2 linked regions of the Struthio camelus genome follow. The protein of the gene in region 1 interacts with the protein of each later gene in a pairwise test. Links are inferred from orthologs where the notes say so. Each region holds a gene or a part of one and is shown in the gene's direction. Other genes may lie near its edges.

Evidence for each region.
Region 2: the proteins of FURIN (region 1) and MARCHF2 interact in a protein complementation assay, tested with the Homo sapiens proteins (2 studies listed by BioGRID). The link is inferred for Struthio camelus from reciprocal best matches to the Homo sapiens genes FURIN and MARCHF2.

What each region holds. Positions count from the first base shown.
Region 1 is NC_090953.1:488,011-502,200, forward strand, and holds the start of FURIN (furin), read left to right. Parts: upstream 1-8,675; 5' UTR 8,676-8,690; intron 8,691-9,146; exon of another isoform or gene 9,147-9,231; intron 9,232-11,568; 5' UTR 11,569-11,776; coding exon 11,777-11,956; intron 11,957-14,190. Other genes in the region: MFAP1 (microfibrillar-associated protein 1), read right to left, coding at 1-53, 617-804, 1,180-1,309, 1,910-2,129, 2,230-2,308. UniProt on the Homo sapiens protein: Ubiquitous endoprotease within constitutive secretory pathways capable of cleavage at the RX(K/R)R consensus motif. Mediates processing of TGFB1, an essential step in TGF-beta-1 activation.
Region 2 is NC_090967.1:784,066-799,207, forward strand, and holds the start of MARCHF2 (E3 ubiquitin-protein ligase MARCHF2), read left to right. Parts: upstream 1-7,374; 5' UTR 7,375-7,641; intron 7,642-7,885; exon of another isoform or gene 7,886-7,960; intron 7,961-8,227; exon of another isoform or gene 8,228-15,142. Other genes in the region: RAB11B (ras-related protein Rab-11B), read left to right, coding at 1,536-1,681. UniProt on the Homo sapiens protein: E3 ubiquitin-protein ligase that may mediate ubiquitination of TFRC and CD86, and promote their subsequent endocytosis and sorting to lysosomes via multivesicular bodies.

The sequences.
Region 1 (14,190 bases):
CCTTCTGCTTCAAGGCTTCTGCTTCTCGCTCCTGAACCGTGATCCGGTCCTTCCTATAGACAGAGACCACAAAAGCCTTCAACCTTTCAGCGTGAGCCCATGCAGCCGAACCCCTCACAGACTTATCCTGCTCCCGTGCTGCAGTGACCCTTAGCCCTTACTCTCCAAGTAAGAGCCAAGTTCAAGGGCTCTCCCCTTCCTGCTGTTGCCCAAGCCAGGGCAGCCCTGCTAATTCCCCCTACAGCTACAGGCATGCGTGGAGAGAAGAGAGCGCGAGGCACCCGCCGTGGTGCACTACCCTCTGCCAGCTTCCCAGCTCTTTGTACAGCGCTTGCCCAAATGCCCTAGCACAACCCTGCTGCGATGAAACCCACCGGCTGGTCCCACGCAGTGACCTGACACAGCTGCAAGAGCTGCCCGTGGCCGCTCAGCGAACACCCGTTACTCCTCAGCTGTGCCCTGCCAGGCTGGTATTTGTCACCTCCCCTTAGGAGGCAGGCAGTGCTACCGCCCCGCTGTACGAAGCGGAGATCACAGCGGTGACCGTCTGCTTGGCGCCCAGCCGCTGCCTCCTGCATCCTCACACAGGACCGACCTGCCTGACCGTGTCACCTACTTGCGGATGAAGACAGGTTTGAGACGTGGCTCCATTTCATCCTCACTGTCTGTGTACTCCTCATACTCGGACTCTGACTCAGACTCTTCTCCAGATCTACCCTCATCTTCCAACTCCATCACCTCCATTTCCTCGGTCTTCCTCTCCTGCGCTCGCTGGCGCATCATCCCACGGCGACGCTCAATCTCCTAACGGAGGTGCATCAAACACAGAGGAGTCAGTGGAGCAGCCCTGCTACCGCTCCCTTCCCCACAGACTTTCTGCCTCAGGCAGGAAGCCAGTTCCTTTCAGATTCTTTGTGCCAGAAGTGACATGTCTGGAACCTCTTTGTTACAAAAAGATGTTCCCGTCCCTCAGGATGGAAGGTGGCCTCACCCAGCGTCCCACCTCGCAGCAAGAGACAGGTAACCCAGAGTTAAGTCATGGCCAGCTATGGAGTGACCTGCAAGTCCTGAAACTCCCTAGTTTCACCAGATAGCCTTTTCCACACGTACATGGGTTATTCCAGCCTGTGTCATTCAGGGGCTTTCTTAAGCCAAGTCTGTTCAGGTCTGCAAGCATACCTCATCATCGATCTCTTCCTCTTCCTCTTCGCTGGTGTCCTCCCGTTCGAGCCGCCAAGCTTCTCCCTCCACCTCTGAATCGCTGTCTCCAACCACTTCAGGCTCCACAATTTTACGGTGTCTGGCCAGCCTGTAACAGACCCTAGTTGAACTACAGCACTTTGAGCGTAAAGAGACCGCAGAAAGATGGCTATTTGTGAATTGTTCTTAATGAGGCCATAGTAAAAACTGGAACGACTGAGTCTGGGAGTGAAACAGCATGTCCTTTCCTAAAAGGCAGGAGCAGCCAGGCAGTGGCTTTTCCTCCCCATTTGTGTTTTTGGTGGGAAGCCTCCCCTTTACTAGTGCTGAAGGCTGAAGTACCTCTATGGGGGAAGGTAAACAGTGCTCAGATACTTTCTGCCCTGAATACGATTCAGATGAAACCATATCTTCCCGCTAGCCTAGAGAGGTGTCGCTGTGTTAATTTTTATTTCAGAACCCGCTGTTCCCCTGGGCCAGCCAAACCGCTCCTGAACGCGGGGCTGCCGTGACCCTTGGCTTTCAGGGGTGCTCACGGCACAGCGGCGGCCCGCGGCACGATCCAGCACCCGCGCCAACAGCGCTGGAGACCGCTCCCGCAGGGCTGGGAGAGCGCGGCCGTGCTTGGGTGACGGTCAGCGGCAGAGCGGGGCCGGAGGCAGAGGCTCTGGGGAAGGCCGGGTCTCCTCCGGGGGCAGGCGCTGCTCACCGCTCCTCCACGTCCTCGCTGATGCGGTTCTGGAGGCGCCGCAGCCGCGGGTCGTTGGCGAGTTCCTCCTCCTGCTCCTCGGGCTCCACCTCCTGCTCCTTCGCCTTCTTGATGAACTGGAACTCCTCGTCCTCCTCCTCCGAGGACTCCATGGGCGCGTAGTCGGGCCGCTTCCCCGACACGTACCGCTTCACCTTCACCTTCTCCATGGAGAGCTCGCCTGCGGGCGGGGCGGCCGTCACCGGGGCCCGGCCGGCCGCCACCGGGCCCGGGCTTCCCCCCCCCGCCGCCGCCGCCGGCCCCCCCGGTGCCCCGCTCACCCTTCTCGTTGCGGACGGGCACGGCGCCCGCCGTGGACTGGATCGGCGGCTGCTTCATGAGGGCGCTGGGGACCGACATGGTGGCGGCGGGTCGGGACGGGACGGGACGGCGGCAGCAGCGGCGGCGGCTCTGGCGGCGGCGGGCACCCTCCTCCCCCGGAACCGGAACTGCGGCCGCCCCCGCTTCCGGCGGAACCGCCGCCTCCCGCCCCCGCGAGCCGTTGGCCGGAAGTGACGCCACTGGCGGCGGTCACTTCCGGCGCGCCGGGGCGGGGCGGGGGAGCGGCCGGCGGGGGCGGCTGCCGGTGCCGCCTGGGGCCGGGCCGGGGGTGCTGCGGGCCGCGGCGCTGGGCCGCGCCGCCCGGGGGAGCGCCCCCCGCGGGCCGCTGCCCCCCGCCGCCGCCGGCACCCAGGCGACGGGCGGCGTCGCGCCTCGGCGGGCGGGGCGGGGGCGTTCGGCTGCGCCACCTGCTGCGTGTGTTTTCCCCGTGGTCCGCCGGGCGGCGGGGGGAGGCGCTGGCGGCGCAGCGCGGGTGCGGAGTTGCCCCGAAGGGCCCTCTCGAGCGCTGGGGAACGGGGGACGCGTGAGCAGGCCTTTCCTGCTGGCCGGAGCTTCCCTCGGGCCTTGGGGCTCTGGCCCTCCGCTGCTCGGGCTGCGATTTTCTTGGGGCATCTGGTCGCCTCTTCCCTAATCCACGTCCTGGTGCTCAGGGCCTTTGGCTCTATCTAGAGTCTTGGTCTCCGCCTGCTGCCAGCCTTTTGGGTTTCGAATTATTTGCCCGAGGTAGTGTCGCTCTAGATAAAGCACACCATCATGGGGTGAGAGATGACTGAGGCACAGATGCTCACGGCCCCCTTCTTCCAATTTAGTGACTGAACTCTGAATGGAAAAGATGTTCAGCCCGTGATGTAAGTTCCTGCTCCTTCTCCATTTGTGCAGCTAAAGTGGAGATGATGAGCAGCAAAAGCAGAGCCAGCAGCTGCTGTACAGCTGTATGGATATTGGATGTCAGCGGCTCCACGGTGCCACCGTCCCTCTAACTCCTGCAGGGTCTTGCTGAGGCTGTGGGACGCATCCTGTGCTTGGTGGGGCTGCAGAGCTCCTCCTAGCACGGCCAGGGGAACCTGTTGCTCTTTGGGTGGATGGTAGGGTCCGACTGCAGAAGCTGCTGTGGGTTCAGTTCGTGCTGTGCCTGTTGCCAGCCACGCTGGGTCTTAGTTCGTGCTGTGCCTGTTGCCAGCCACGCTGGGTCTTGGGGTTGATGTCTGACCTGAGACAAAGCCTGGAGCTGTGAAGGTTTTTCACTGCTGTGTTGATCAGAGTCTTGTCCCGGGCCCTCCTGCTCTGTAAACTAGCAGCAAACCAAGCCAAGCAGGAGCTTCGCTGCTCGGGTTCGTGTCTTCCCAGGCTGCCAGGACGCCTTCACAGCTCCCTACGCAGCAGCGCTTCTCGCTGCAGCACCGTGAGCACCTGGAGGCTGACTTACCCTGGAGGAGCGGGACTCTCCTGCTGTTCTGTGGGGGGAGATGCTTCTCCCACTGCCACCACTGCAGAACCTCCTGGGGCTTTCCCAGTGCAAGTGACGGGAGGTTTGTGGCATGTGTGTGGCAGGAAGGGCCTGGGGGCGTGGCTGTTTCATAGCAGGGGAGAAAGATTTTCTGAATGTGGCAGGGTGCTGCCCACGTAAGCACGCATTCACCACGGTCATTGCCTCCGAGGAGGTGCTAGAGTTCACAGAGGAAAACGGCTGTTCGGGAACTGATCAGCTTGCAAGAGCTGCCCTGCTTTTCTGTGGCACGGAAAACAAGATTTCTGAAGTAGGGCAAAACTATGTCACAAACCACCAAGCCAACGTCTGCAATTTTGTGCTGCCTTGAAAGAAAGGAAGAGGTTTTTATCTTCCAGGAAACCTAGCTGCAGGACTTGAGCCAGTCTGCGACACATCTCGTAACAGGAATTTGGGAAGTGGGGAGGGATGAGTGCTGTGTTAGCCGTGCGCGTGGCAGGTGGTCGCCCTGCCCAGCCCCGAGCAGGGGCCCTCGTGGGCACGTTGCGGAGGCCACGGGGTGTGATGGGCATTGCTAGAGGTGGATGCCCAGGAAATCCAAAAGCAAGTGTGTTTTCCCAGATGGAGGTTCAGCGCTGGAGCATGCTCCCAAAGGAAAGGCAGCAAACTCTTCCTTTTGGTGTCCTGGGCTGCAGGCTGGGAGGTTTCCTCGTGGGAGGATGTGATTTAGCCAGTGCAACTTACTGTTCTGAGGGAGCGGGGTAGTCCGGGGTGTGGAAGGAAGCGGCAGAAAGTGGTTCTCAGCAGCAGCACTGCCCCTGGGTCCGGGCTCTGCTCGTCGGGGGCCGCGGGGCGTCCCAGGGCTGCTGCAGAGGTCTCCAGGCTGACGCTGCGGGGGATTCTGTCTTGGGGGAGCCTCTCGCCTTGTCCTCGGCCCCTCTGCGAGAGGCGGGGCAGGACCAGCTGGGTAAAGCGGCTCCTGCCAGCGTGGCTAAGGCCCTGGCTGCAGGCCGAGAGCGCGAGGAGGCCCCTGGGCCTGGGGCAGCGCCGCCAGAGCCAGCCCATCTCGCAGCGCTGGCTGCCTGTGGCCAGGGCATCCCGGGCGCAGCCCGTGGCGTGGCGCTGCGTGAAGGTGCTTACTGCAGCGCTCTTCGGTAGCTTTGCGTCTCAGACAATCCCTGTTTCTGCTGGCGAGACCCAGGCAGACCTTGCTGCCTTCGCAGGAGCCTCTGTGCTTACAGGAGCTGGGGGATTTGGCCAGCCTGGCTGCAGAGCTGCGAGAGGAGGAGGGATGGAGCGCTCGGGCAGGGCCCCAGTGCTGTGGGTCTCCCTCGGTGCCCTGCCAGCTTGCGGTTTGCCCTCGCAGACAAGGCATTAGTGGCTTTATAATCCTACAGCAACTGATGCCCAGGAATAAGCAAGAGCTCTCGGTGTTTCTGGCATTTACGTCCTGACGGCAATTGGAGCTCCAGGCCCAGCTCCCTGCTCTGCGTTTGATCATCTGATGAGATATTAATCTTGTGTGGTTATCACAGTGTGTTCCCACCTAATGAATCCAGTGTCACCATGGCAAGGAGTGAGCTTCAACATGTGACTCAGTAGGTGAAACAATTAGACCTAACTGTTAAAGGAGAGCTTGGGAATTGCACACAAAGCACATAATGTGCCATTCAGGTGGAGTTAAAGACCTCAGCAAACAGGGACGGGCTCTCCCTGGCTGGCTTCGGTTCTGGGGGACGGCAGAAGCCTGAAGCAACGGCCGAAAGCAGCCCGGAGCCCGCAGCGTGCCTCCTCTGCCCCGCGTGCCCTTGAGAGCCGCAGCCGAGCTGCAGAAACCGAGTGCTGGAGTCGCCTGAGCTGGTGCAGGGGGGCTGAGGGAGCCTGCTGCGGTGCGGCCTGGCCCTGCCCTGGCCAGGGAGAGCCAGCCCGCGCCGGGCCGGGAGCGGCGGTGTCCTGTCGCTGCTCCTCCCTAGCTGATCCCCTGCGGACAGGGCAGGCTGGCAAGAGCCTGTGCCTCCGGGCAGCGGCCCCAGCCGCCTTCCTCCGCAGACCAGGGACCGATGCCCCTCAGCCCCGGCCCCGGGCGCCAGCGGCGACGTGTCGGCCCCGAGCCTTCAGCCAGCCTGGCGGTCCGCACGGGGCCGGGCTCCGGCGGGGGCGGCGGCGCGGCGCGAGCCTGAGCTGCCCCTTCCCTGCGCTCGCGGAGCCGGGGTGCCGTGGGGCGGCGTGCGAGCTCGCTGCGCCCCGGCACCCGACACGGGCAGCTCCGTTCCCTGCTGCGTTGTCAACTTGCTGGCTAAAACCTCTGCCCGTCAGGCTTTGGACTAAATTTCTTTGTTGAGATCTATGAGCGACCCCCCATGCCTCACTGCAGCCTAAGGAGAAAAAGGGGGTCCTGCCCACGGGCTGGCACGGGTGTTTCCTGCGCGCGCGCACCTGTGTTCCTGTTTGCACTGCTGTTTGTGCTGAGACCCCCGACTGCGGCAGGGACCTTGGGGTGCTCAGGCCAGACAGGGGTGTCCCTTGCCGTGAACAGCGATAAGCTGTACACAGGGCATGAGGTGGCAGGGTGTAAAGCAGCAAAGCTGAAGAGGGGCGGTAGCACGGCGGGCTGCGGATTTGATACCTCGGCGGCCTTATGGCTGTTGACGGCAAAGTCAGAAGGCAGATAAAGTTACAGCCCCCTTCTGAGCCGCCACTGTTTGTGTCTGCAAACTGTACCGCAGGGCAAGGTCAGCGTGTTTGGGGTGGATCTCGAGAATCCCATGTGTGTGACCACAATAAAATGTTATGTCTAGGAGCGTGACTATGAATAGCGCCTCGTGAGCCATCGGGACCTTGCAGACGCAGCTCCAGCCCGGGGACTGCAGCCGCTGCAGCTCCGCACCCTCCTCCCGGCGCGCCAAGGCCGTCTCAGGAACCTGCTGGTAGCGTCCGGCAGTGAAGTGACGTGAGGTGAAGGGGTTGGAGAGATTCCAGAGGAAAGTGGGATCTGCACCCCGAGGTTTGGGAAAGGGAGCAGAACTGTGCAGGAAGGGGGGGCTGGGGAAACGTGTCCGCAGCAACGCGGAGGGCTGCGGACTCAGCCCCCCCCCTGCCGTGGGAGGGTTGCATGGGAGCAGCAGGCAGTGTGGCCACTGCGCTCTAAGTAAATATTTAGTTATTGATTTGGTCCCTCTTGATGTCCTCTCTGTGATGTTATTGCTGTTTGTTTGGTTTTCTCCTCTGTGAGGGCCTCTGTCCTTCCTCCGCTGCCTTTCCTTACGGGAACCCCTAGAGCGCTTCCCTGCTTTGCCGTCTCCGCTCGCCCTGTCGCTGCTAGGCGCAGCTCAGCTGCGGCCCCGTCAAACTCCCCGGGTCACCCCCATGCAGGTGCCTGTGGACGAGGGCGCTTCCCCGTCACTGCTCAGCCTCTCGGCAGCTCGGGCAGACTGGCAGTCGCCTTGCTGCTGAAGCTTGTGCAATCTCTGCAACCAGGACAAAATTTGACCTGATTTTTACATGCAAGTTGATTTCTATTTATTTTTGTGCACAACCTGACTGTGCCACGTAGAGCGTGTGTTTGATGCTGATGAGGGTAGGGAGGCCTCGCCCTTGCCTCGGTGTGGGCCCCGCAGGGGATGGTGTGCAGCCTCCGTGCTGATGGCACGCCTAGCAGGTAGCTGGCGGGCTGGCTTGCAGCAACACACTGCTGGTAGGATGGTCAATTAGGAATCACTGAGCAGAACAGCCAGCTCCTGGCTGTGCCCTTGAATGCCTTGATACATCCAAGGAATGGCAACCAAAATCAGTGAAATGTTAAAGGGGAAGGTTCATGGGTTTTTGCAGACGCTGTTGTGGTAACTACTTCATCCCCTTTCGCTGCTGCCTACAGGGGAACAGCAAAGGAGAGAAGCATTCAGCAGCGGTTGTAAGATCTGACACTAGCCCTGCTGTCCAGTTCTTGAGCAGCCTTCCAGGAGGGGCTGCTGGAAAGCAGATCCCATTCACACAGGAGGCCTCACCCTGTGCTCCAGGTGCTCCCAGGGTACAGGCATCATCTCTGGCAGGAGCAAAGAGAGGTCAGCTGTGTAATTCCAAAGCTAATAGTTTATGCAACAGATAGGTGCTTCCCGTTTGCCTCCCCTGGAGCACTGAGATAAGCATGCGGTGGTGACAAGGGGCCCTTTGTCAGCTCCTCTCCCCCAGCATGGTATGTCAATAAGATCCAGGTGGAGCAGCTCTGTCACCTGCCTGGGCACAGCCACAAGCTCCTGCATGATGTATCTGAGGATGCCCACAGGGGTCCGGGGGGGGAACAGCCTGTGCCACTCCTTCGCTCCCACTGCAGAGCTGTCATCGGATGTAGGACCTGCTTCCAAACCACGTGGACCTGGGAGACCCCTGTCTCCGTGGGCAGCTCGAGTCTTTGGCCGTGCATCAAGGAACTGGGACAGCGGGAGGGCCGCCAGGGAGCGAGCAGGGCCTGCCCTGACTGGCAGCACGCAAAGGACAGTTTTTCACGGTCCTGTTGTTGTGGTGGGGTGGCCGGTGATCGCCGAGCTGGGAGGGGGTGCGGGGCCGTGCCCCCTGGATGCGGACGACGGGCCCCGGGGGGGGGGGCAGCTCTGACTTACCAGAACTCAAGCGGTTTGTGTTTCCAGGAGGGACTTTTTGGGGACAGATGTCGTTATCACCTCGGCAATCTAGAGTTTCTGTTTCTGAAGCGATGTTAGAATCGGATATTTGCCCTTCAAAATTAACCTAGTTTAACAAAGAAAACTACCCTGTGCCAGATTTTCTGGGTTGTTCTCAGCATCTCAGTTTCCAAGGTGACTGTTTCCTGTACGATTGCTAATGCTTTATAATCTCAGTCATGATATCTAAGTGACTTCCTCCTCTTTGTCAGGAGATGTAAGATCTGCTCTTATCCTGGGCTTCTCTGAACCCCCTTCTGAAGTGCAGAGGATTCAGGTCAGTTCGGGCTCTGCTGGTTTTTGCTTTTGCATTGCTCTTAATGCGGATCCTATGCATGTGAGGGATGAAAGTATACGTGCACATGTATATGTTTTGAAGAACGACTAAAGCTGAAATGAACTGCAGTTCACTTCTCACCTTTTCTCCTTGGTGGGAGTCTGTCTCCTGAAATTTGAAACTAGAGCGTGATTGATTTTCCTGGTGTCGCTGCCTTCCCGGTAGTTTCTGCGGGAGGCTCCTGCGCGCCGCCCGGGGCCGCAGCCGTCGCGCCGCGGTCCCGCAGGGGCCGGCCGCGGAGCGGGTGAGCGGCGGGGCGGGACGGCACCGGGCGGGACGGGACGGCACCGTCGGCTCCCGGGGCGGCGGCGCGGCGGAGCGGAGCGGAGCGGAGCGGGGCGGGCGGCGGTGACGGCATCCGGCGGCGCCCGGCGGAGCGGCCGCCGCGCCGGGCCGCGCCGCGCCGCGCCGGGCCGGGCCGAGCCGAGCCGAGCTGAACCGGGCCGAGCGGGTCTGTGCCGAGCCGAGCTGGGCTGAGCGGGTCTGTGCCGGGTCGGGTTGTGCCGGGCTGAGTGGGTCCGTGCCGAGCCGGGCCGAGCCGGGCTGAGCGGGTCCGTGCCGAGCCGGGTTGTGCCGAGCCGGGCCGGGCCGGGCCGAGCTGAGCGGGTCTGTGCCGGGTCGGGCCGGGCCGAGCCGAGCTGAGCGGGTCGGGCCGAGCTGAGCGGGTCTGTGCCGGGTCGGCTCGGGTCGGGCCGGGCCGAGCCGAGCCGAGCCGAGCTGAGCGGGTCGGGCCGGGCCGGGCCGAGCCGAGCTGAGCGGGTCTGTGCCGGGCCGGGCCGGGCCGGGCCGGGCCGAGCCGAGCCGAGCCGAGCCGAGCGGGTCCGCTCGGGGCGGGGCGGCGGCGCTGACAGCTGCCGCGCGTAAACAGGCGGCTCCGCTCGGCTCGGCTCGGCCCGGCCCGGCCCGGCTCGGCTCGGCTCGGCCGCCCCCTGCCTGGGCCGGGCTCGGTCCGGGGCGGGGGCTGCGCGCTGCCCCGCGGCGTGACGCGGCGCCGCCGCCGCCAGACGGGCCCGGCCGCCGGCGGGACACAGCGGGCAGGGCCGCCCGCGCCGCGGTAAGGGCGCCGCGCCGGGCCGGGCCGGGCCGGGCCGGGGTTCGGGCCTCTGCGGGGCCGGGGGCGGCGGGGGGCGCGGGGGGCCGGGGGCGCCGCGGCCCCGGGCCGAAATCTGCCCCGCTCCCAGCGGGGACTTCGCTCCGGCCGCGCCGCGGCGGCCGCCGCCATCCCGGCTGCCTCCTCCGGGCCGCTGCGGAGCCGAGCCCGGCCCGGGGGGCAAAGCGCTGGTGTGGGGCGATGCCCGGGGCAGCCGAGCCCGGCCCGGGGGGCAAAGCGCTGGTGTGGGGCGATGCCCGGGGCAGCCGAGCCCGGCCCGGGGGGCAAAGCGCTGGTGTGGGGCGATGCCCGGGGCAGCCGAGCCCGGCCCGGGGGGCAAAGCGCTGGTGTGGGGCGATGCCCGGGGCAGCCGAGCCCCCGTGGCCGCCGCGCTGCCTCGCCGTCGTGTCGCGCCAGGCGGCCGCTCCGCGGGCCGGACCCCCTTGGCCCGGGGCGCCCAGCGCAAGCCGGTCCGTCCCGCCGCAGGCTGGGCGCCGCGCCGGGCCCCCGCGCAGCTCGGCCCCCGTGGGTGCCCGCGGGCGCCCCGCGGAAGCCTCCCGCCGCCCGCCCTGGCGCCGCACCTCAGCTCCCCGCGCTCCCTGGCTGGTTCCCTTCCCCGGCGGCTCGGAGGCTCTTTCCCCGCCGGGAGCTGTGGTTTAGGCCTGGCGTGATCCGGCGGGCAGGGCTCCCCTCCCCTGGGTGCTCGGGGCCTCGGCCGGCCGAGGCCCGGTCTGCGGAGGGGGCGGCCGCGTGGCTGACTCGCGGCGCGGTCTGCCCGCCGCGGGGTCTCCAGCCCGCCGCCGGGAATCGCTTCCCTGCCGGCCGGCGCCGCGGGCTCGTTGCGGGCCGAGGCCCTGCGCTGGCGGGAGGGGGGTGGCGTTCGGCCGGGCCCAGCCCCGTCTCCTGCGCCGCGTTGCTGGCTCCTGCCTTTCTTGCTCTTCCAGGTATCTCGCGATCCCTTTGGAGCTCGGTGTGTAGAGCCTCCCCCCGGCTGCCTTAACGCAGCAGGTTCCTTTGCGTTCGGTGGGGTCACCGGCGCCCTGCTCCCCACCCTGCCTTCCCGGTGGTCCCTCCGAGGCCGTGTGCGCGGTCCTGCAGCGCCCCTGCGTGCAGGTCCCCGCACGGAGGAGATGCACGCGTCCTCTATCCCGGTCCCTGTGGCTCTTTCCTGTCTGCGCTGGGATGAGTCACGCTGGTGTCACCATGTTCACGTTATGCTCCTGGAAGGGCAGAGCGGAGCCGTTGACGGCGACAGGCAGCAAGGCGCTCGCTGCCGTCTGATCGACGGCAGATGGTGGCGGCGCTCGGGGCTCGGCTGACCACATGGCCAAGGCTCTCGCCCGCTTTCCTCCTTCCCGCCCCTCGCTCTCCCCCGCCGCGGCCGGTCGGCCAGGTCCCTTCCCGAGGCGCCCGCGTGTCCCCGCGGCGGTGGGGCCGCCGCGTTGGGCTCCAGCAGAGAGGTCTCGGGCCGCCCGGAGCCGAGCCGCGGCTCCGCTGCGCTCCCCGGCCTGGCGCAGCCGCCGCGACGTCGCCCCCGGGGACTGGAGAGGCCGGTTCCCCTCCCGCTTGCTCCTGGCTTCTCGCCCAGCGCCGGGCGGCTGCGGAGACGGGACGTGCCGCGGGCGGCGGGCTGGGGCGGCGCGAGCCCCCACCGGCGCCCTCCTGCCCTGCGGCGCCTGCGCCGAGCCGGCCCGGGACGAGTCTGACCGCCCTTCCCTCTTTCCACAGATCCTGGTGCTGTCCCGGCCGGGCTGCTCCGGTACCGCCGAGGGCCCGGCTCGCTGGGCTGCGCCCCCATGGTCGCTTGGACGGCGCGGGGGCCAGCGGGGCGGCGCGGGGGCCGGAGCGCCTCGGGGCGCTGACGCCGAAGAGGCCGCCGGGCCCGTCGCTGCCCGGACCCTGGTGCTCCGCAGCTAGAGGAAGCCCCGATACGCTGATGGATCTGAGGTCCTGCTCGCTGCTCCTGCTGTGGACGCTGGTGGTTGCCCTCGCTCTGCTGGCCCGAGAGGTGCTGGCCCAGCGCGTTTACACCAACACCTGGGCTGTCCTCGTCCCCGCGGGGCCCCGGCAGGCGGACCGGCTGGCCAAGAAGCATGGATTCCTCAACCTGGGCCCGGTAAGCGCCCCTCCGCTCTGCCCCGGGCAGCCGGCGGCCGGAGCCAGCCCACAGCCCCGGTGCCCTTGCGGCGGCCGCCCTTTCGGGGCCGCGGGGCCGGGTCGCCGGCGTGGGCTGCGTCGGCTCCGGAGGCGTTTCCAGCCCCTTGCAGCGCTCCCGGCGGGAGCGGCGCCCAGGCGAGGGCACGGCTCAGCGCTGCCCGGCTTCGCCCCGAGCGAGCCGTCCGGCGGCGGCCCTGCGCCCTCGGCCCTGGAGCGCCCGTCCAAGCGCGTGTCAGCGGGTCCCGCGGCCGCCCGCTTTCCCACGGCCCGCGCAGGTGCCGTGTGCCGCCTCGGCCGCCCTCCTGGCGGGGTGGCGGGACGGGGTGACCGCGGAGGAGCGCGGCCGTTCCCGCTGGCGCCGGGCTGTCCGCAGCGCGCTCCCCGGCTGTGCCGCGCTCCGGGCCGCCGGCAGCTGGTCGCGTTCCTCGGCGGGTGCGGGCGGCGCTGGCTCCGCTAACGAAGGCTGCGGTGCTGGGGCGCGGGAGCCGCGGGGCCCGGCCGGCGGCCGGCAGAGCTGCCCGCCCATTGGGGTGGCACACCGGGCTCCGCTGCTGTCTTCCCCTGCCGGCAGGCCGCTTCCAGCCGCCCAGGGTCTCTTGCGCCTGTTGCTGGAGCGCGGTGAAAGCTGCCCGGCACCGCTGTCGCGGCCCCGTCGGCAGCGCTTTTCTTGGCCCGGTGCTGGGCCGCGGCTCGGGCACCGCAAGGGCAGGGCTCTCCGCCCTGCAGCCTCAGCTGCCTGGCCGGGCGCACGGCTCCCCCGCACGCGGCCGTCCCGGCGCAGCCGCCGTCCCGGCGCAGCTGCCGCAGGGAAGGGCCTGGGGAGGTCCCGCGGCGCTGGCGCAGTCGGAGCACCGCCGACGGGGCTGCCGCGTGAGACCGGCTGAGCCGCCGGTCAGGACCGGGTGTTCGCCGGCGCGCCGCGGGGCGGGTGGGGGGCTGAGGGGGCCGGGGCGAGCGACGGGCCGCTGCTGTCCCCGGCTCGGAGGCTCTGCTGCGCCCTGGCAGCTGCGCTGGCTCTGGCAGGAAGGAAGCTCGAGGTGAAATCCCAGAGGAAGTTGCACAACTCGCGGCTGCAGTGTCAAGGCCCTGCTGCGAGCCAGCTGCCTGCGAGCGGCCGCGGGGCGGGGAAGGTGGCCGCGTCGGGGCGGCTCGCTGCCCCGTCCCGGCCGCCCCGGGCACGCGGGGAGCCGCCGGGCAGCGCCCGGCTCTGGGGTGTCCCGGGGGCAGGAGGGGTGAGCGGCCAGGCCCCTCTGCGGGGTCTGGCGGCGCCGGAGGAGCGGGTGGCCTCGGTCGGCGCGCGGAGGCGTCTCGGAGCAGGTCGCGGGGCCGGGTGAGGCGCAGAGCGACGCGGGGAGCACTCGGCTGGAGCCGGCCGCTGCAGAGACCGCCGAGCGCGGGGGGCCGGGCTGAGGTGAAACCAGCCTTTTTCTGGCTGCCCGAAGCCTTTCCCGGGCTCGGCCTCTGTGCCAGCCGCCCGCTCGGGGGCCGCGGGGGCGACGGGGCTGTTGGGCCCCCGCGAGCCGGCGTGGCGCGGTGCTGCACGCGCCTGGCTGGGCAGCGCCGGCCCTCTGCCGCGCCACTGCTGCGGGCTGGCACCTCTCCACCTGGCTGCCGAGCTGCCGGCCGAGCAGGAGCGCGCAGCACCTGCAGCGCGCCAGCCCGGGCTGGGATGGGAGGCGCTGGCCTGGGCACGTTTCCCCGCGCCTGGAGCCCATCCCAGCGCCCGTGCGGCAGGACCAGGCTTGGCCCTGGCAGGAGAGCCTGAGCGGCCCGCTGGGAAGAGCAGGGGAGGGAGGAGGCCGCGCTCTCCCTCCGGGAGAGTCGTCTGCAGCCGATCCTGGGGGTGTTTGTTTTGCTGGGACAGGATGGAGCAGCCAGGCTGGAGGAGGGAGGCGGAGGAGGGCTGGGTGCTTCTGGCAGCACCGCAGCGAGAGGCCCCGGGGTCCTTATCTCAAAGGATCCTGGCCTCGGCTCGGTGCCTGGACGCTGTCCTCGAAGGCACGCCGTCCCGGCGCGCTCTCTGCGCCACCTCTGCCTGCAGCGCCGGGGCGGGCGGACGGCGGGCGAGCGCGGGCGCTCCTCCGGCCGGCGTGCCGGTGAGACGGGAGCGCGGCCGTCGTTGCCGTGGGGCCCAGGTGGAGGAGAAGGGTCCCGGCGCTGCCGGCTCCGGCAGGGCGGGAGGCGCTGGGGAGG
Region 2 (15,142 bases), on another chromosome or scaffold:
TTTAGATCCAGTGTGGATGTAGCTAGTAGGGCTTGAATAATCCTTAAAAAGCTGTTTCTAAAGTGACTGCCTGAGGGAGAATCATCCTCCCAAGGGAGGGAAAAGAAACTTGAGAAAATGTTCTGTGTGGAGCAGTTAGTTGGGCGAAACCATGAGGAGCTGGAAGGAAGGAAGGGAGTGGGAGCAGCAGGCCAGGAGTTCCTTTACAGGCTTCAAGTTTGAGGGAGTCACTAAAGACTTTAAAAACAAACAAAAAAAACCCTAATGGATGCTACCCCAAAGAAAGGAGGGCTTGCTGGTAACTCTGAACAACTAGCATTAAAATACACCACTGAGCATGAAAGAAGGGGGATGTGATAATCTCGCTACAACTCTCTTCAGCCCCCCCGCCCCCTTTTTTTTTTTTTTTTTTTTTTTTTTTTTTTTGCTAAAAGGGCTGAAGGTGATCAATGGTGAAGAGATCAGTATTGGGTTAAAGGCTTCCATTTTAACCAGCGTAAACATGCTTGGCCCCCCCCCCCCCCCCCAAAAAAAAAAAGGGAGGGAAAGGGGCAAAACATAGCAAAACCAAAAAGAACCCACAAACGATCTCTCATGAGTTTTAGCAACAGCCAGTGTCTTTATCAAAGACTGTTTTGAAGCTGTGGCTATATGAATATGACCGTCATATTTACTGCAGACTTCCAGGGGAGGTACTTGCCCTTTTCCTGTCTCACAATGGAGGGAAGTTGGAACACAGGCTTATACTCAGTGAAATAAGTGATTTAAAAATATTTCAACTTGAATTATTTCTGCTAAGCATGCAACTGAAATGGTTTATTTCTGAAAGCTTCTAACCTGGCAGTCTCTCTGCAGCAGTTAGTTTTGTGAATCTCTGTGCTTTCAGGCTTAAACTAATAGGGGTCGAAGAAATTAATTCTCTCAGAAAAGGCATTGTTGGATCAATATGGAGCTTTATGGAACTATGTGTGTTTTTTTTTTTTTTACTGCCACGAGTGGGAAAACCGATTTGTTTCAGAGAAGAATAAGCATTTCTGTCATTCGGTAGTAACAGTTTGCCAGAGGCTAAAGTGTGAAACATACTGATGGAAAACCACTACTGCGGGATGATGTTTTGCAAGCATCCTGTTGATTGGTGTTTCTAGATAATGATGCTCTGTTTTATCAAAAATATTATGATTTCCTCTTTTAGAAATGAGCGTTCCTGCTCCTTTATTGTTAAAAAGCCTTTTAACAATGCCCACGTTCATGGAGTTGTTGAACAGAACGTTATGGGAAGAGCTGTTGTGAAAGACAGTAAAGAATCTTGTCTTTTCCAGGACAGAGAGAGAATATCCATTACAGAGCTAGTAAGCCAGCCAACTGTTACGTTCCACGGCTGGTCGGACCAGATTCCCTCTAACAGCAATCCACTTACCTTAAATCTCCTCTGTCCTGGGTTCTACCGTTCTCTTTGACAACTTGCTCTGAGATTTGCACATCCTCCATTAGAGAAAATGCTCATCTGTGCTCTAACACGTCTGTTCTCATTTCAGAAATCTACCGCATTGTTTCACAGAAGCAGATTGCAGATCGATCTGCACACGATGAGTCTCCCGGCAACAATGTAGTTGACATCAGCGTCCCACCAACCACCGATGGACAGAAATCCAACAAACTCCAGTGCTGTCAGAACCTGTGACCTCCTGTAGATGACTTTTGTGCCCCTCACTTCGTCTGTGCTTCATTTAGAAACTTGTGTGCACTTCTTTATCTCCTGTGATTCAGTGACTCCCTCTTCCCTCTTTCACCCCATCCTCAAGCCCCTCCTTTCATCTTAGAGCTTTACTTGTAGGGCTAACATTCTCCTGCCTCTGAAATCCCCTTAAATGTGATGACTTTTGGGCTTGAAATATAGGCACTGATCTGATAGACATGTTTTGTGTTGGAACATCTGCTGCTGGATATTATCCCATGAAGCACTCTTCTCAAATGGTTTTGGTTTTTTGTTTTTTTGTTTTTTTTCTGAGAGAGAAACCATGGGGACTTGATTATAACAGTTGAACAAATAACTACATTTAGGTTACAAGGTTTTTTTCCTCTCGTAGTCAGATTTTTCTCTCATGTCTCTATAAGCACGGGGGAGAAATTAGAAGAAAATAGCTGTCCTGCCAAATGCTCTGTTCTCTCTCCTGATAAGTCTCACAGTGAGGTTTTTAGTGGCTGCACACATAAGAAAGCTGTTGAAAATAACATTACTTATTATGTAATTACCCCTAATACAGTTAGTCTGGCTGTGTAGTTTACTGTTTTCTGCTTGGGAAATTTTTCTCTATTCTTGTTTTATTTGGGAACAATGAAGTACGTCTGCGTTGCTTTCTCTGCCACCATGACTGCCTGTGCTGCTTGTTCAGGCTTTATGAAGTGGCTTAATATTTATTCATGGCTTATGTTAATCAGTTAATGTTATTGTACAGTAAGTGCCAGCATATTGATTTCAAAAACCTTTTGCAACCTATACAAGTAGGCTCATTTTGTACTGTAGATCAGTGTCTGAAAGCAGGATCTTCTCTAGTTCAGAATTCTTTTGCATGCTGCTTCTTCTCTAGATCTCTCCTACCCCTGTTTGAGTGAGTGAAGCAATATTTTCATGTCATGTATATACCTGCACTTGTAAGGGTTTTGGTTGTTGTAGAGAAACACAATACTTTATACATTTTGTAAAACTTCTGCAGAACCATAGCATCTTGAACTTTCTTTTCATGATCTTTCACTATTGATCTTGTGCATAATCTTCTTGACCTCTACTAAAAGGCATATTAAGATTTCACCTACTATTAACCTGTTGCTTCCCTCTTACCCTGTTTTACTGAATTGCAGACTGTAATTCTCAAAAGATTGTAATTCACCTGATGTAACAGATTTGTCATCAGCAGGGCTAACTGCTATAATATTTTGTTTTGCTGAATGGGAGGAATGTTATCACAACTTTGTGTAGTAAGTCTCTTGCTAGCTTGTGAAAATCCTCTATGATGATGGCTTTTTGTCATTCACTCTTTACACCCTTGCATCCCTCCAGTAAACACTGAATGTTACGATGAGGCAAATACTGGGGGAAACTATCTCAAGGAAGAGTTGGAGACCATCTGCTGCTCTCTGGAGGCTAGTGAAGCAATTTGCAGTGAATTTTTGCTCTGTATTCTTCCAAATTCTGAGACTGTGCCTCACTTGATTAATACTGTCTGCATGTTAGTGAGTTGATTTTCTTTTCTGATACAAAGCAAACGTGAAACTGTAAGTTGTGCTTGAAGGGGAAAGCTGACATTCCACTCAACTGTTTTGTGTCTGGTTATGTAATAAAATGAAGGGCGGTTAATTCTGATGGCTTTTCCTTTATAAGATTTCTAGACCAATGCCTTTAATTTTGTACTGTATGCACCTTGAGGGCTGTAGTTCAAAGCTAAGGGTGTACACATCTTGCTTAGCATTTTCAGTTTTCAACTTTGTTTAGAGGATAGGTTCAAAGTAAAGGAGCGCATGCTTTGCAGCCTAATAGCATTGAATGACGATCTGAATTCTTCTTTGGGTGCCACAGGGTTCTGCCCTAAGGGAGTCATAGTATTGGAAGCACTTTCAGCACCTGGTACTTAATTTAATAGCATCCTGTTGAGAAAGGTTCAGCAAGTGGGAACTGGAAACTTCTCCTTTTCGTTGGTCATACAAACAGGATGTGATATGTAGTCAGTACTTAAAATGGTGGCAGGTGAGCACAACATCAGAGAGAGTGGAAATGCTGAGATATTTCAATATTTCCTTCAAGAACAAGTAGTCACTAAAGGAGGCAGGCTCCTTACTCTTAATTTTGAACAAAACTTTGTATAGAGAAATGAGTTGGGATAGTGTGAGGAAGAATTGTGCAGTTAAGACTTAGTCCAGGGTGACTTAATGCATTTACTCTGCAAATCCTGTTCTTAACATGAAGCTTTTGTGCATGAAGCTCTCTGCTGGTGGCTAGGATTGATCTGAAATGGTTTAAGAAGCCGAGAAGTAGTTTAATCAGTTCCTGGTCTATTAAAAGAAATTTTCTGTAGACTTTTCCACAAAGTCAAAGACGAAACTTTGCCTCAGAGTTGCAATGAAAGGTTCACGCCTTGGGCTTAAGTGCTGTTAGATTGGATGGGTATTGAAGAGACCCTGTACAACTTCACCATGCATTGACCAAAGCCGCCTTGGAGCAAGTGGCTCTGTGAAGTTGAGGGCGTTAGACCCATACGCGCTACAATGGTTGAGGTGTTTCTGAAAACTGTTCTGTGATTGACGTGGAAGGCCTGCTGTCTTTTGCTGCAGAGCTGTTTATCTTACCGTGGATTGGTCTGCTTAGGATGTGGGGAGCATACGTGTATACGTGCATGTGTGCACATGCAGAGGTTTTGTGAGTGCTGTATGCTAAGTGGTGGTTTTATCTGCCATGGTCAGTCTGTTTCTTAGAATAGGTATTGATTCTTTCCTAGATTGCTTTGCTGCTTTCCAGGCAGTTAGAGAAGCAGACCTCCTTCTGTGAGTTTGAGATGATTTTGCATATACTAAGCACAGGGATAACAGTGCCAAAAGAAGACAGTGGACAGTTTGTTTTTTCCTGGGAAAACTACATTCCTGTGCACAAACAGGGAAAAAGTTTTTGATCTTTTGATCCCTGAATATCCTAATTAAAGCACTGTATACTTAACAGAAGCTATAGCTACAACCAAAACCACTACTGGTAACGGCTGCTGCAGTTGTGCAGGGAAGACTCGGAGGAGTCCCAAGGGAATGCTTAAGAGCTGTCTAAAAAGAATTTCTCTGATAGGCCACACTCTTTACCATGCTTTCCTGACGTGGAAGCAACTGAGTTAAAATGTAACCTCAGCTGGACTGCTTGATGTCATAATTTAGCTGGCTCCATATCTCAAAATGTGTCAGGGATATAATAAAGGCTCCAGTTCTCTTAAGCATGTTGTAAGAAGCTTGGAGGCAAAATCTGGCTTATGGTAAAACCTCAATGACTAGAAAGCTGCCTGTGAAAGAAAAACGTGCTATACTTACTTCACTCAAATATTGATATTTTTCCTAAATTTTGAAAGATAACACTAAAAATTGTTGCTTACCACCCTGGGTTAGTAACGTAGTAAATGTTAGTTGAAGATCCCTGCTAGGACTGAAATTAGATCCACCAATGCAGAAGATAGGTGTATTTTTTGCTAATTCCCCTTTTAATTATGGGGAGAGGAGAGGCCAGAATTAACATGTAAGAGATTTGCTGCTGAGCACACAAATAGGTAATCTGGTTAAATAAACTCATTGGGGAGATTGCCTCAATTTAGCTTTTTTGCCAGTTGAGTGAAGTGCTTACAAACTGCTTCTGTGACACTAGGTGAGTTAAGGAAGAAGTTTAGAATCACCTTAGAGCTAGCTCTCCTGTAGCCCCCACAGGACAAGAAAACTTGGATCGGAGGAAAGTTTTAAAGCACTGTGATTGTGTAAGTATAAAACTGCAGTTGATGGGGGTCTGCTGAGGCTGCTTGATGCTTTATTGAAGAGAGGTGTGTGTGCGCGCCTCAGAGGACCATCAAAATTGGGTAGAAGGAAAAGGAACTATTATCCCTTCTTCCCACTTCAGCTGCTCCTCAGTGCTTTGGCCAGGTTAGAAGCAGTAGAATGACTGCTGTGTCCCAAGATCCCCAGCTTGGGTGCTGTGATATTATTTTGCTAGATCAGTTCTAATAACTGCACAATATGTAGAAAGGCTGGTAACTTTTGTGCTAACAGGAGGGAGCTCTCTCAGCTGGACATACCAGGATGCTTAGGATTAGTCTGTGCCTTTTATTTAAGCAGGTCACTCACCAAAAGCAATTTGATCAGCCTGGAAAAATGTACAGTAGGTATTTTGACTTCCTGATGCTTTGATTCCTGCATGCTGTACAGTTCCAAAAGTTGTGGATGTGATCTGTTTGTGGGGTGTTTGGTTGATTCTTATCTGTGCTTGGTGATAAGTTTTTTTTTCCATTCCAAGCATGAAGGTAGAATTTGCTTAGAGGTTCTGATCTGTGTAGAAAAAAATACTAATGAAGTGATCTGAGCACTTAAGGAGGCTCTTTTCCTTCATATAATGTGAAGAAAAACAGTATTAAGGGTAGGGGCCTGAATTTCAAATAAGAAAAATCAGGCAATTAGAGGTGAAGACTAACTATCCTTTAAGATACAGTGGGTCAGGGCTGAGGCCAGATTCGTTTGACTTTTAGACTCTGAATACAGTGATACTGCAGATAATTCAGTTTCAAAGGTGATTATTATAATGTTTCCATGGAAAAATAGTATCTCCAGGGCTGCACTGTTTCAGTAAATAACAGCAATTCTTATTTTAAAACAGTCAGATAATGTGCAGTAGTGTTTGTCTATCAGGCTTTATAGGCTATATATAGCACTGGACCTTTATGCAACCCAGAAGAGAGATTCCTTTCATTTACTTCTACTCCTGGTTCCTATTCAGTTAAGTGCAATTCACTTTGTAAATATATACATCACTTGATTTTTGTGCATGGTTATTATGTATTGTGGATATAAAGATTGCCAAATCATATTGTGTGTGTAAAGTTCTGTTTCAAACCTGACTGTAGAATGAAGTGGGAACATAACTTTGGCTTTGGAGCCAGTAAGTTACCACATCCAAAGTGCCATAATTGATATTAGCATTAGCAACCCTGCCATTGCCAGTGGCTGGGGGGGGGGGGGGGTGTGGCAGGGGGGTAGTGGAAGTCAAAGCATGTTATTAATGACCTTTGGTATCCATTACTTGTAAGAGCAGATGTTCTCAAACTGGTTCTTCCCATTGTCTCAGTATGGCTTCATTATATGCACATATTTTTTTTTTCTTCCCTTCAAAATGCAAATGCTGTCCATCCAGTTGGTCTTTGAAGGTCTTCCTGGTGCCCTCTAGTACCTGGCCTGGCAATACGAGTGCTAACTCCAGTGTCTGCTCAGGAGGAATGAGCACATCTAGTGCAGCTGCAGGGAACCGAGGTGGGATTGTTGCATTCATGGTCTTCCATGGAAGGATGGTGTAATCTGGCCTTGTTTTAAGTTATCTGCTCTTCTAGAGACAAGTATTTAGAATAAGGTTGATCTGAAGTCAACACTGACTTAAGGTGCAGGACTCGAATGAGTTGTGCACAAAGGGGTTAAAGGGGGAAGTTCAAAGATTTCTTTGGTAATTCCCACGTGTGAGGAAGAATCCCAACTCCTAGGAAGCCTCCTGGTGAAACCCCAAGTGGGGAGGGAGGCTACAGTGGCCCTGACACGCTCCCGCTTGCTGTGTCATGCCTCACCTTGGTCAGATGATTTGGGCCTCCGCCTGTCCACTCCCCTTCCAACTTCGCGAAGCTCTGGATGTGCGGAAGAGGAGGCGCAGCTCGCCCGTGACCAAGAAGTGGGGAAAGCAGCTGCCCTCCGCCCCTCGGCTGCGGGACCGCGCCGCGCCCGCCCCCGGGGCTTCCCCCCTCCCTTGCTTTCCCGAAAATGTCGCCGTGGGGAGCCCGGAGCAACCCGCAGATGACGCTACCGAGGCCGAAGCTCGCAGAGGGCAAATGAAGCGTTGTAGCTGCGCCAGTGCCCGGTCCGGCAGCTGCGGTACGGGCCAGAGGGGGGAAGCGCCGGCCCGAGCGGCGGCTGCGCCCCGGGGCCGGGCGGGGCGCTCCCCCCCCCCCCCCCGCCGGGCCGCTATTGGCCAGCCGCTGTTGCCAGCGGGGTCGCGTTCCGACGCCGGCCGGCTCCGCGCAGCCCATTGGGCGGGCGGGCTGTGGCGTCAGCGCGGCGCGGCGCTCGGTGCGCCGCCGTGACGGCGGCCGCGGGCGGGGGGGGGGGGGGGGGGCGGCGCCCGGCGGCCGCAGGAGCCGCGCGAGGCGGCGGCGCGGGCCGCGCTGAGGGGCCGCGGGCGCCGGGACCGCAGGTAGCGCGCGGGGGGAGCGGGGGGGCCCGGCCCGGCTCGCGGCCTGCCCGCCGCCGCCGCCGCCGCCGGCAGGACCCGTCTGCAGCCGGGCTGCGCGGGCCGGCCGCTCTCCGGTGCGGGGCCGGGGACGATGCCCGGGCTCCGGGGCGGGCGCCCCCTTCGCGGGCGGCCGGGGAGGCTCCCTGGCCGCGGGAGGGCGGCTCGCCGCCGGCCTGACGTGGGAGAGGCGCGGGCTCGGGGTGCGCGGCGCTGGGCAGAAACGTAACCTGGGGGAGGGAAGGCTGGGAGCTGCGATCCTTTATTTGTCTGTTCCTCTGTCTTTTTTTTTCATTGCCGCGGCTGTGAATAATTATTTTTGGAAAATGTTTCCTTATAATTGGGGTCTCATGTTTTTCCTCTTTTGGAAAGACCTAGCGCGTGTTTTTGCCCCGCTGCGTGGCGTGACTGGGGAGGCAGCGCTTGCCCGTAGTGCCGTCTCGCAGAGCGAGCTACAGCGATTTCCCACGAAGCGCGGGTCGGTGTCGCAGTAAAACTGAAGAACTTCCTGCGAAAGGGCTTCGGAGCACCGGTTTTCTCCCTCTGTGGCATGAACTTAGAGTTTGTAATTGACTTTTTTTAAATTGGAACCAGTAACTCTCTCTGTTTTGCTGAAATTAGCCTTCTTGAGGCAATTTAACTGCTAGTGGCGGAGGCCAAGGTGGCTTGTTTGTGGGATTTGTCCAAGGGATGAGCTTGTGGCTTGCGTGCGGGAAGGTTGATTGTGGCATTGGAACTGCTTTTCTCATTGTCTCAACCATTTACTTGAGCCCATTTTCTATCTAATGGGGAGATCAAGATTAAAAACCAAAAAACCCCTGCAACGGTCCTTTGGCTGAGACTTCTTGCTTATCTGTGCAATTGCCTGGCTAGTTGGTAACCCACAGAAATGGTGCTCACCTAAACGCGGCCTGACATATCTGTGCTGTAGGAAGTTATCACTATTGATGAGCGTTAAGGTTGTTTTACAGCTTGTCATCTCAGAGCAAGTTGTGCAAAGCTCAGGGTTTTTTTTTTTTTTTTTAAAAAGAAGATGAGATGGTTTTGAAGTCAGGGCTGACAGTGACTTCCTGGAAATGCCAGGGTCATCTGGAGCAGATCTGGCATCGTCAGGTGTGTTTGTGTTCAATGTAGTTATCCCCAAAGTGTCCGGAGACTGGGCTGGCCTCTCCTGAAGGGTGTGCAGTGAAGATCTGTCAGTGGGGTCCCGCTCCTCATCACACCCTGTACCCTTTATTTGCTTGCGCTCAAAGGACTGTGTGTATCCGAGCTCCTCCCCTGACTTGCCTCCCCAGCTTTTCTCCCCTCCCTGTTACCAGTCCTTGTTTCAGGCTTTCATTCTCCCATTCCGCTTTCCTTCCAGCAAAACGCTTTTCTCTGTCTTTCCCTTCTGAAATAGCTTCTAGCATTTTCTTAATCTTCTAGACCTTTTTCCAGATTCTTGTCAAGAAGGCCTCTGACATGGTGCTGCTGCAGGTCAGCTCCGATGGCCGTGGCCAGTCCCCTTTATCCACCCTGCTCTTGGGAGCGTACAGCCCTGCCTGGTTGTCAGGCTTACACGTGCACCAAGTAATCCTTCGAACAGCTGGATGTTAGCCTTGTCTTTCCAAGGCTTAAGTGTTTAAGGATTATGGAGGCAGCTGCAGCGGAGAGGGGAGAGTAAAGCCCTGGTTTTCCAGGTGCATTTGAAACTATGACAGTACTTTCCCCTTCAGAAAGGGGTTTGAAGAGAGAGGAGCTGCGACTGGGAAATCCCTTTGTCATGTGCTCTGTACAGTGAATTTAATAACTCAAGTTGGGAACACAAGGCTTAGCAACCCACAAGCATGGACCGTGGAGCATTACAGGCCAGCCTGCGTCAGAAAGGAAGTCTTAACTTTGCCAGGTGTGGACCAGGTGGCACAGGAAACAGCCAAGCATGTGCTTAAGATCTATACCATGAACGTTAAATATCAGCTGTAAAATCGGGATCAGAACAGGTACACTGTGTGATTAGCTAATCGCACTGCTGGCAGTCTTTAAGAAAACATATGAAAACAGAAAAAAGCAATAGAACTAATGATCTCTTGTTTCCAGCATGCTTGACTGCCTTTGTTTCCAGCAGAATTACACTGAGGTCGCCCCATGTTGGACACCAAGGAAACCATGCAGACGAGCAGTGTTATGAATGTACTAACTGCAAACAACTTCTGTTGGAGTTTTTTGCTTTAATAGATGCCAAAAAGGGGGCTTTCCCACTCTAGGTTATTGATGCTGGCCTGAGTCAAGCAAGTGCAGGACACAATGCTTCCCTGAGAAGAAGTTAATCAAGACTCCTCAAAGCAGCAAGTACAAAAACAACCCAAACCACTCCTAGCGCAGGCTGGGAAATGAAGAGATTGATGCTCGAGGTGGCCTCTGAGGCCCTGTTAGTCATGAGGGACTGTTACAAGTCCTCAGTCTGTGGCTTTGTAGTAGTCCCACTGGCTGAGCTGCAAAATATCATGAAAAAAAAAAACAACTGAAGTTACATTAGTCTTTAAAATATCTTGACTTTTTATACTAAAAAAAAGCAGAACCTTAGAAGAATGAAGGGAGGAATCAGGCGTCCTGAACTGTAAACTACCAGATGAGTTTATTTTTCCCCTGCTTGACTTTGACTCAGCTTTGGATGTTTGGAGATCTCGGAGTTTCCATTTTCTAAACTGCTCACTTTTTTTCCTCCAGAATAAAGTTCATAACTGTTGTCTTTTTAGCCTCTTCCCTCACCAGTTTTATTTACTCGGTTTAACTTACACTTCTGCATGCTCTTAGTGCAAACTCTTACCACGAGAGAGGAATGATCTCCGTTTACTTATGTTTGCCCCCTGGAAGATACACTAACCACTTCTAGGTATCCTTGTACAAGACAAGTCGTATGACAAATAAAGCTGTGGGTTTCTTTTGTGATCCGAATCAATGTTATGTTAGCCAAGTGCTTCAATGAAGTTCACGTAAAATGGCTTTCCTGTGTAGGAACTATACAGGACAAAAGCCTAAACTATAGCCTAAGCTGTGCTGAAGCACAGTTCATGGCTTATTGGGAAAGTTAATGTTATGCACGTGAGTAGCAGGTTTTCCACCTGTCCAAATGTAGGCTCTCATGGTCTTCCCTGCTCTCTGGTCTGCTTAAACTGTGGCAGTACCATTCCTGGGCGGATGCTCTCACGCTTGCCCTGTTGTGTTTATACCGTATTTGCTGTTGGACCATATTGTGGCTGCAGCTCATCAGTGTCGCAGCCGTACAAATGCCAAGAAATGCAGCTCTGCTGGGAGAGGTGGTTACCCACTTAACTTGAGTATTTGGGAGACCACTCTGCTGTTTTATTTCACTGCATAAAAGTGTGGGGAGATCCTGCCTTCTTACAGTTTTGATCACTTTTTACTATGCTGGAAAATGTCTTTTCATAGCTGTACTGGTTACAGGTTATAAAAAGTCTGAATGCGATGGTAAAATGCAGAATAAAACACATCCTCAAGGCACAAGCTGACAAAATATCTCTGAGTAGGAGCTGAACCTTTCATATCCACTGGCAAAGAGAACAGCCTGACATCAGGTGTACCAACCTTCTGGAGCTCTTCCTACCTGCCAGTCGTGCAAATGCATTATTTGCCCCAGACCTCTCCAGGATAAAGAGTGTTACAATTGATTTGAATTGAACTGTGATTTGTCCCCGTTTTCAATCAAAACGTGCATTTGTAAATTTGCTTTACTTTCAGATGTTAAGTAGCAATTTTAAGTAAACTTCTTAACTTTCCAATTCCTGATCTAATGCAAGATGATAACATGTGGTTAACCTCAGGGGCAAACATAGCTTAGCTATTAAACATGCTGTAGCTGTTGTTGCAATTTTAATCAGTTGACGTGAAGTCATGGTGACAGACTGGAGAAAATGTTCTCCTGCTGTCCTGAAAATTAAGATATTTTTTAGAGGGGGAAGGAGCAGTATTGGCTTGGGAAACACAGCAAGCACAAACAAACAAAATGTAGTTTCTAAAACACCTCTCAGAACTTCAAAGAGGGGAATGTAGGAAAGCTCTTGCAGTCTTGGCTTTACCACCTGTTGCCGTAGAAGTTTTGATCGCTCTAGTCCTGTTCTAAGTACAAATTATTAGGGTTTGGGTTTGTGAGAGGGGAAGCTGCTGTCAGCAGTTTGCAAGGTAAGCTACAACTCTGGACTCTCCTCAACCTTTTTTCCCCCGCTCCCAATTTTTCTTGTACTTCCCTGCAGACAAATCAGTCAAAGCCTTTGCTTTCAGAAGAACTGTGAATGCAGCCTAAGCAAAATCTTCCAAACTGAATTGGGAAGAAGAGAGAGACGGGGATTTTGCAGCACTTTTGTGAAGTTTTGCTTCGGAGTTGAGGGAATTTGTAGTGATAAAGAGTGGGTAAAGGGAGGACATGGACTAAATCAGTTAAGATCAGTTAATCCTGTTCATTGACTGACCATGCAGGAAGAGGATGCCCAAAGTTCATGCCCGCTTTGGAGATCTTCAGGTGCGGATGGATGGAAGGGTAGAAGGCTATGGCAGTGCCTTTACTGGAAAGCTAAGTGTGCTAAAGAGTACAGGGAACTAATTGGGTTGCAAAATACAAACAGGCAAGTTAATTTGGGATCAAATATCTCTGTTACAGGATTAGTTTGCTGCCTGGTTTTGAATGGGGGTTACATGCTGGCCGCATACTACTCTGAGCAGTTGGAGCACTCTCTTGTTCTGAGCAGGGTTGCTGCATGCTGGCGGATGGTTTGTTCCAGTTTGTCTCCAGGCAGAGCATAGTTATTTGTGTAACAGTGTACATGGTGCTTTATAAACCAAGAATGAGAACACTGAAGCAAGTGCAAGTTCTTCCTGGCATAGGATTGCAGATCCTGAGAAAATGTTTCGCATCCTTCTGAGTAATCCCCTTTGAGGGAGTGACCTGTCCAATGTTGTGTGGGCGTTTCTTTGTTGATCTGATGCATGTGTTATTGCTACAGTAAAGTTGATGTTTTCCCCTATATTTCCCAAAGCTGGAAAATTCATTTGCTTTGAATAAATTGAAACTGCCTGGCAGGTGACTGCATAGGACAGGGGAGCTGTTGAGCTTTGGCATTACTGCAGAGCCTGCCTCTCTCAACAGGGAGCTGTCTGAAGCTATAGGAATAGGAAGCCGACCTTTTCTTGCTCTTATTTCAGTAGAGGACATAGGTGCAAAGAGAAAGGAAAAGCCACATAACTCCAATGCCTTCAGATGGCAGCAAGGGTAGGCAGGAGCAGGGCAGAAAAGAGATGTGCTTGTGGGTGGTGTGGCAGGGATGTTTTCTCCGCTGATGGGTAATGCTTTTTGCAAGCATTGCTTTTTGGGCACAACAGCCAGGTATTTTTCCCCCTGGTTCATGATTTCAATGAAACTTTCAAGCCTGGCAAAAGCATCTTTTTTTTTTCTCTGCAGACAGAGAATGGTCAAATGCAGAGAGAGGTGGGCATGAAATCAGTATAATTTCATTTATGTCATGACCCATGTTGCTGTTCACTGTAAAAAACCTGATGCTTTCTAAATACAGTGAAAGAGCAGGTGTTTCTCATGTCCCAGCTGTTTTCAGTAGTTTCCTTTTAAAACTTGTTATTAAACTGGCTGAATGGCTGATTTCTGGTTGGAGATGCCCTCTGCAAAGAATTTTCTCCTAATGTTGCAATTCATTTTTCCAGATGTCGGTAATTAAAGTGTAGTAAACTTTCCTTTCACATGGTCTCATGGCAGATAAAACATCTCAGAAGATCTGAGATTACTTTGTTCATTTTGGCGCTGCAGCTGTAAGGCATGGCCTGATCTTTTCCAAGTACAACTTGCAGCAATAAAAAAAATCATCCTTTAGGCTTCTTATTTTTTTACTGATTTTCTTTTCCCCAGTGTGTAAGCTTCAACCTTTTGCTCCTTTTTGAATATTAAGTAATATAATATATTAGGCAATATACTTCTAAAATGAAGTTTCTTTGGGAAATAAGGAGGTGAGTGGCATGAGATGTTCCCTGAACTCTGGGGTAACAGGAGCCCTCCTACATTACAGCTCTGCTGTGTTCATACAAGGCTGGGAAGGAAGCCCACCCCTACAACGTTGTTTGAAAATTAACGTTTCTTCTTTGCCAGTTGCTAGTTTGCCAGTGTTGCAAGACATTGATAACATACGGCTGGTTGATCAGGTAGGCTGAAGGTTTTGGAGAGGAGGGATGTGTATGAATGCATACTTTGGGAAGTTACATCATAAGGATCATGAATGCTCGCTATAATATTTCCTTACCAGCAGAGAATGTAAGTCAGATCCTGGCAATCTGTCTGTTTGAAAAAGAAAAAAAATCACATTCTTTGGAATACTATCTTCATCTGTGTTTGGAAAACAAACTCACTTAGCATCAAACCATAGTCTAAATAATCAAGACTTAGGACAGCCTTTGGAATGTGTCTGAAAAGTGGCCTGATCTAGAGACTGCAAGTTTTGATCATTTGTCCACAGCAAAAGCCCAGTAAGTGAAGGCTTGTGCTACTGTTTCAGGACTTCTGAATTGTATTTATGACAGTAGTTGGAAGGCAGCTGGGCCAGGCCCTTATAGTGATAGGTAACGTAACCATGTAACAAAAACAGGAGTCCCAAAAGGTTGTTCCCTATAAGCTTCTCATCCCCTCTGGATGCTGGCTTCATGGTTAAACTTGGAGCATCTTATGAACTTTAGAAATTCAGCCATAGGGATGAGGGAGGTAAGCCCTCCTTGGACAGTGGTGTTACTTTACAGTGCACTCAGTCTATAGCTTTTGCTTATAAAGGTGTAGGAAGAGGCTGTTCCTGAAGTCAAGCTTGATTTTTTAATGGCTTACAAACTCCAGGATTTGGTCCCTTGGATGTTTTTTTTTGTTTTTTTTTGTTTTGAGCCTTGGGTCACGTCTGTCCTGTGACTATCTGATTCACAGCGCTACTCCGCTGGCACTGCCTGAAGAGCAAGTTAACGTTGAAGTTTTTACAGCACCTCCTTGAACTCTGACTGTCAACCAAATGTTGCGGACGAGGCAGGAAACTGAGAAGCTGCCTGGGAGTGAAATGCTTTCCTGTGCATGTTATCCACCAAACTTTAAAATGGTTTGAGAGCTGTCTT